2 linked regions of the Nothobranchius furzeri genome follow. The protein of the gene in region 2 purifies or fractionates together with the protein of the main gene of each other region. This does not show direct contact. Links are inferred from orthologs where the notes say so. Each region holds a gene or a part of one and is shown on either strand. Other genes may lie near its edges.

Region 1 (3,517 bases), on a different chromosome or scaffold from region 2:
ATTGGTAACGCTTTACAATAAGGGTGCCTTTATTAGCGTTACACAGTGTATTAAGCATTAATAAAAGCTCGCTTAATTAGCATTAACTATTAAGTGTCCTTAAGGTTGGGACAAAGGGAGGGGAGGGGGTGTCTGCTTAGTAATGCATGACGTAATATTGTTAACTTTAATAGTTTATTAATGCAGAAAGTAATGTTAATAAAGGGACCCTTATTGTACAGTTTTACCAGTTTATTATTCACAAGCTTGGTTTTAATATCTGGACCTGTATTACATTTGATAGACACGATTAATTAAACCATTTTCTATTTATAAATTCATAAATATTGCATTCAGTAAAATTGAAAAATACATTTTTTGTAATTGATTTATTATAAAATAAACAAATCCGTTTTAAATTATTTATTGGTGTTTTTAAATCTATAGAATGTAAATAAGAAGTAAAAACTAAACATTTCATTTCCAAATAACAAAATAATATTATTTGCAGGATACTGAAATTCTTGCACAAACTTTCTTCAACAATAACAGGCAAAACTGATGCTTGAAGGGTTTTTTCACATTTTTTTATTTGCAAATTTATTCCAATATTGCAGTTATGTGTAAACAACTTGTATACGCCGTCCATCTAGTATCAAATTGCAACTTTCCTTTATACTGAAATAGTGGCTGCCGTCCGCAACCATTTTCTCTATGTTACATAAATGTACATTTATCTGTTTGACAACAACAGGCAACAGGCCAAGTCCACATCGGTCCTGTTAGCTCGCGCTGCTGACAGACTCTTTGACAGTAAGAGTTGGTGTGGATCCTATGTGGGTCCAGATGTAACCCTTTTCAGGACATATGGGGATGGTGGGGAATGGGGAGCTCTGAGACTTGAAATACTCCGATGGGGCGTGGCACACAAACTCCAAGTATTCCATCTTTCTGGGTAGATCCTCCTCTGGTCCTGATAAACATAATAAAGCGAAATAAGATAAATCACTCACAAAAAAAATCCTTTATTTAGCCACAGTTCTTACCGACGATGTACGTTCCAGGGTTAAATTGATCGCTCGAGCTGGCCTGAGTGGGAATGAGCCACGTCAGTGCTGCACTTTTCTCACAGTACTGGTCCTGCACAAATCCTCTGATCTGAGCGTAGTACGGCTTTCCATCCTCCTCATCTATCACTTTGATCACATCGCCCACCTGGTAGTAAACGCCCTGCAAATACAAACACAGGATGGAAGAAGAAAAGATTAAAGTATCATCATTACGATGCCTTTTAGTTTAATACGAATCAGAATCATACCTTATAAAATATAGATTCTGATGTGATGATTGTTGCTACGGATTCTGGTGCTTTGATAGGCTGCGAGGAAATAATTTGGATGAGGTCAAATAAAAGATATCAGAAATAAATACATTAAAGAAGCAGAAACTTACATTTTTGAGCTTGAAAATGTGTCTTCTTCCTTTTCCTTTTGTTGACACTTTTTTCTCAGAAGCAGGAGCTTTGTACTTGGTGCTTCTCAGCCGTGCAGACCTCCTGTGGATTTCCTGTTTGGACTACAAATGGACACATTTAAATATTTCTGCTCCTGATGGCATTTTTTCAGCAGAAAAAAAAACTATAAATCAGTTTATTTTAATTAAAAATATTAAACTAAATGGTAAAATTATTTTATTAAAAAAATGACATGAAGTATTATTTTCAAACTATTTTATTCCAGTTTACTTTCTAGAAACATTTTCATGGCCACCAGGGGGCGCTGTTGTTACACCAAGACACTACTAAAGAAAAGCAAAAACAATGATGTTATAGTCATGTGTACGCTTTCTAAAAATTAACTAAAATAAGACATAAAAACTAACAATTCCTCATGAACTCTCGGATTTTGTTCGTGGCGTTTCTCTTCGGTGTTTCTGACCTGCTTGGCCCCGCCGTTGCTGGGCTGTGTGATGGTTGATATGGAGGAGGGTCCCGAAGCTCCCCCGCCGCCGCCGCTACTGCTGCTCTTCCCTGTGCAGTTGTTGCACAGTATTTCACCCTGGGTGCCTTTCTTCCACATTGAGGAAGAGTTCGTCTTACAGACAAAGCAGCACGGCTTCAAACCCAGAGGCATTTTACCGGCTAGAGAACGATGCCTCCGTACGTAAAAACGATCACAACAGAAACGCAGCTGCTTGGCTTATTACCAGATCACGACCGGATGTAGCTTTAGCATATTTCGCCAACGATTATCAAACAAAAATAACCGTAAAGACATCAAAAAGCCTTAAAACACAACGAAGTTAAAGCAGCATTATTTATGTACTGACTTGTTTCTACTTTCAGCGCGGAGGTTCTTCTTCAGCGTTTCCTTTGTTCTGAGGTCGGAAAACTATTGAAGTCAAGCGCCGCCTACTGGTGTGGAGGACTGCGTCGGGCGCTGGGCTGGGGCAGCTAAATGTGAGTCAGTATTTCCTTATTATCGTTGTTAAAATAGATATGAGTGCATGAACAACAACTTTGTGTTTTTTCAGGATTAAAATAATAAACTATTGATCACTAGTATCACTCATTCACATGTTTAAAAAGTTTGGATTGATATAGGAATTAACTTATTGAGTGCTGAAGCAGCGGCCTTCTTCTTCTTATCATTATTATTACAATGGGAGATAACCGTTTATTTGATTATTATCTGTTTAACAAAGTTGTTACTTTCCATGCCTTTGATTGTATCTTTTTCACTCTTTATTTTTACAGGTTTTTGCTGATTGAAAGACTGGCTTTCCCCACTAACAGACAAATAAAACGTCTTCTACTTTAAATTATTTAAATTATTAATATTTTTATTGTTAGTAGTAGCTAGTAGAAGTAGTAGAAGTAGTAGTAGTAGTAGTAGTAGTAGTAGTAGTAGTAGTAGTAGTAGTAGTAGTAGTAGGAGGAGGAGGAGGAGGAGGAGGAGGAGGAGGCAGAGTAGTAGTGGTGGTTGTTCCTGTTTTTTAATGTATTTCATATTTTTTACAGATTTCCTTAAAAGTTTTTAGAAAATTGGTATAATCCTTTGAGGAACTAAAATAATGTTAATTACTTTTGTTTACTTTTATAAACAATTCTGCAGTTTATTTTACTGTATTCTAACAAACACATTTTTACACTAGGACCTGTGATTCATGGAGAATAGAAACAAATGCAAACAAAATAAAAAGAGTTCCATTTCCTTTGCCTCACTATGGCAAAAATAATGATAGAGTTTATTCGAGATTATTCATTTGTATATTTAAGTATATTATATTAAATTATATTATATTAAATATAATAGTTTTAAACAAGCTGAAAGTTGTTTCTCTCAAGCATGGTTCTGTTTTGACCGTTTCCCAAGAGCTGGTTGGAATGATTGTCAGGTACTTTTTTAAAATACAAATATAGTATCAGGGTAAAATTTAATTACTATTTATTAAATTTAATCTAAATATACAGTGTTGTTTGAAATAACATCTTTTGTGCTGGGTTATACTCCTGCTTTCCAGCGGGAGGCGCTGTTTC
Region 2 (4,194 bases):
TTTCAAGACCCGAACATCTCAAAGATGGATCACAACTTAACCTAATAAAAAAGAATCGTGCAGGCGCACCTGCAACTCACCTTTTTTCTAACGTTACAGCGATGACACATCCATTCACCTGGCGGGAGCATCTCTTCACTCAGAGGTGGGTTACTATAAACAAGCATAAACCATCAGGCTTGAAGGAGGAAATGATAACTGTCCATTCAGTCACGTGATTTAAACTGAATATCAAACCAAATCTATTTGAAAATGCACTCGGAGGCCTTTTCCCAGCAATGACTCCCCCTGGTGGACGGATCATGCCATTACAGTAGAATATGTATAAAACTAGTTCCTCCACATGAAAGCAGCTGATCTAGGAACTGCTCTATAATAATCAGAGGCATCTGAAACGCATCAGCGGTGGGACACGTTACCGTGCGGGGTTATCACGCATAGCTGGGAAATTCCCGTGTTCACAGCTGGTTTAACAGTTCAGCACAACCTGTCACGTCCCAGATCAGCCTGCCACTGACCGCCATGACCAAATATAGTCAAATCGCTTCCAGGTGACAGCCAAAACGCAACTCCTCAACCAGATGTGATTAAGCAGAAGTTCCTGATGCGCCACCGGAAGTGTCACAGCGATCAACAACAACAACAACAACCGCTACACACTCACAAAACCACACCGCCGGTTTAATGCTATTCGCAAACCTTTCGCCCCTCGGCACCGAAATGTAAAGGTTGGTAAGATGGCGCTGAAGAGAGCAGAGAAGTCGCCATATTGTAAACAGAGGCAGCCTCGACTCCATTTTTAGCAGCAGCAGCAGCAGGAGAGGAGGACCGACTGCAAGTCAACTCTGCCTCGTTTAAACCGCAGAGAGCAAACCTTAATAACACACCTCTGGAGCAATCATCGAAGTTACGATCAACCGTCTGGTTATAACAAGCTAGGTAATAGGCGTGACAACATCCCCCGGTGTGTGCGATAATGCAGAGGGAACTTTATTCGTTCACAGAGAGATTATGTGCTCAACACCAACAGGCAGCTGGTAGTCCCAGAGCCGTTGGGTCATAACGGAATTCCTGTAATTCAGAGCAGAACTGACTTCTACAGCCCCACCATGGTTAGCATCTACAGCCCCACCATGGTTAGCATCTACAGCCCCACCATGGTTAGCATCTACAGCCCCACCATGGTTAGCATCTACAGCCCCACCATGGTTAGCATCTACAGCCCCACCATGGTTAGCATCTACAGCCCCCCACCATGGTTAGCATCTACAGCCCCACCATGGTTAGCATCTACAGCCCCACCATGGTTAGCATCTACAGCCCCCCACCATGGTTAGCATCTACAGCCCCACCATGGTTAGCATCTACAGCCCCACCATGGTTAACATCTACAGCCACACCATGGTTAACATCTACAGCCCCACCATGGTTAGCATCTACAGCCCCACCATGGTTAGCATCTACAGCCCCACCATGGTTAGCATCTACAGCCCCACCATGGTTAGCATCTACAGCCCCACCATGGTTAGCATCTACAGCCCCACCATGGTTAGCATTCACCGCCTAGCTAAAGCAGCACCACAGCGCGCGGAGCTGCTGCTGCTAGCCAGCACTCACCAGCACTGTAGGTGGAAAGCTGCGGGACAGTGGTCACAGCAGAGCAGGTCTCCCCCCTCCCGGCAGCTGTCGCAGGTGTCGTGGTTGGTGGCTCTGCCGCTCCTCCGGACGTCTCTCACCAACTTTCGACTCCTCTTGTCCACGTCTTCGGACTTTGGAGGCGCGAGTAGAGTTTGGATTTGCTGTAAAATGAAACCAGGGCGGTTACATTTACACAGGAAATTTAAAAACGTAAAAAAATGCAGGTTCTATGACCGAAGACTTGGTTGTTTATTAAAATAAACAACCAAGTCTTCGGTCATAGAACTAAGCGAGAGACACCACCAACTTGAGAGCACATCACAAACCCTAACCAGACTTTACTGACCAAGTCGCTCGTAAAAACGCTATAATGGCCATAACTACCCTAAGTAAAACAACATCAAACAACCAGAGTGCTAGAAAAGCTCAATCTTTCCACTGAGGCCTTCAAACGTAGCAACCTCACCTCCATTAAGCCCCCAGAGGTATCCAGATCGTACACAATCGTCGGAGTTTCCATTTTGTCCCACATTCATTCAGAAGCAAACGCTGCAGGAAAGACTTTGAAGTTTGATCTCCTTGAGATACACGGCAGTGAGTGCTAATCCCGCAAAAATGTTGAATTCCTAAAGATTGTGGCCAGCGGCAAGATGGTTAGCTATCACTAGCTAGCTAAAAAGCTAACTACGACGCGCAAGACGTCAGCCAGTCAAGGTTGTGAAGCTAACGGGCTCGGTCTTATCAACAGAAGAAGTCAGAGAAAGACGCGAGCCTGGTAGCACCACTTTTATGTGCAATCACCGAAAATACATCCAGTATTTGATGATCAATGGATATTTGCTCATGGCGACAAAATCCATCGGCGGCCTAGCTGGCAAGCCATGATTCTCGCTTCTGGTCCTGCAAAAGGGAGCCCTGTAGATCTGCAAACCCCTCCGCTCCCATTGTCCACAGAATAAAGAACCAAACAATCCACTTTGAAGTTCGGCGTGCCTCGGTCCAAAACACAGCTTCCGAGCGCGTTTAGAAAATGTAATACTCGATTCAAGGGTGTGAAGATGCAAATTTAGATGTTATTGTTGTGGGGAACGGCTGTGCATCTACACGGGCTATTAGCAACATCCTACCAGTTGGCGCAACCGCGAACCGCCAGACGCGCATGCGCACTGGTAAAGGAAAGAAATGGACAACATTGTAACGATACTAATATTGTAATGAGTGTAACGAAGTGTGAGTCCGTTGTAGACCATTAAAGGCTCTTGCAGCAGTTAAAAAAATTCAAGCCTCAAAACACACAAAAAAAGGTCTTTGAGAAAGTGTAGGCGTTAAAATAAAAGTAAAGAAATGAAGCTTCAATTTATTTTCATCTATTATACTTTCAGCTATTTAAACTCATCAATGAATGTTTAAAATGGTCAGGAAAACCTTTGCTTTTGGTTGTGCGCTCAAACACGCGGCAATACGGTATTGTTCCTTTGAGTTTCTTCAAAATAAAATTTCCGGGTTACATTATTTAGATCCATAAACATGAACCTCAGTTTTCATGTTTATGTTTAGCTCACATATAATACTTTTATTACACATATAGTACTTTTCAATTCTACATTGTGGTCAATTTCTTGCTGAGAAAGTGTAATTGCTTCAGTACAATGAAATTGGAATAATTAAAAATAATTGAAAGTGACCTAAAGTGGCATTTTAAAAGTTCTTGTCAGCTCATGAAAGAACCTGTTACCTTCACTGTCTTTTTTTAGTGGAATGGCAGAATCAGCAGAAATAGGTTGCTGAACTTTTCTGGAAAAGGCTTGGTTTAGGAAAGTTTTCAAAGAAAAACTTGATGTAGTAGCTTTGTTTTGTTTGTGTTACGTTTCCTGTGCGATGTGAAGCAGAACGGGCTGCTTATATTTTGAAAGTAACTCATTCGCGATGTTACCGTAACTTCCGTTTCTGTTAAAACTGTTTATTGAATCGCTGAAGAAAAGATTCAGAACTTTTCCACACAATAAGCAGATTGTTGGTTATTAATTTAGAAAACATCGGGACGGTTTTCAAACTAAAATTAATTCGAAACGAATGAATTTACTTTTATTTTACTTTTTAAACTAAAGGAAGGACAATATAAAGCTCCAAAAATGCAACATTTAAAAATTTGTATATTTTTATGCAAACTGTTGGGTGAAACTCAGACAATGCAGAAACTGGTCGTCCTTGGTCTGGTGATGTTTCTCTGCTTCACCAGCAGAGGGAGCCACCGCCTTAGCGTTTAGCCGGATAGGGTTATGTTTTAGTTGCTTTGCTGATGGAATGATTGTGATCTCTTTCTACAGTTTCTGGTTGGGCCTAGTTGATTTTATCCAGAACGACTTGATTTATTAGCTTTAAATATGTTCATAATGATTACATTCAGTGTTCAGGCTATCCATTATCACTATGTTTTTTATTTTGAGGAAAGAGTTTTATTATTCAATAAAAAAGGCGGTTCATAACAAAACTCTTGCTCACTCTCTTTCTTAACTGCTTTTCATCAGCAGGGTTGCAGGGGGCTTTCTAACTCCA

The links. The genes of interacting proteins can lie anywhere in the genome.
Region 1: the proteins of phf12b (region 2) and gatad1 purify together in Homo sapiens (affinity purification with mass spectrometry; 7 studies listed by BioGRID and IntAct, with this or other methods). This does not show direct contact. The link is inferred for Nothobranchius furzeri from reciprocal best matches to the Homo sapiens genes PHF12 and GATAD1.

Annotation. Positions count from the first base shown.
Region 1 is NC_091759.1:18,088,321-18,091,837, forward strand, and holds gatad1 (GATA zinc finger domain-containing protein 1), read right to left. Parts: upstream 2,339-3,517; 5' UTR 2,112-2,338; coding exon 1,917-2,111; intron 1,555-1,916; coding exon 1,432-1,554; intron 1,358-1,431; coding exon 1,298-1,357; intron 1,210-1,297; coding exon 1,026-1,209; intron 953-1,025; coding exon 762-952; 3' UTR 539-761; downstream 1-538. UniProt on the Homo sapiens protein: Component of some chromatin complex recruited to chromatin sites methylated 'Lys-4' of histone H3 (H3K4me), with a preference for trimethylated form (H3K4me3).
Region 2 is NC_091753.1:61,665,430-61,669,623, forward strand, and holds the start of phf12b (PHD finger protein 12), read right to left. Parts: upstream 2,816-4,194; 5' UTR 2,171-2,815; coding exon 2,105-2,170; intron 1,800-2,104; coding exon 1,618-1,799; intron 179-1,617; exon of another isoform or gene 168-178; coding exon of another isoform or gene 154-167; coding exon 81-153; intron 1-80.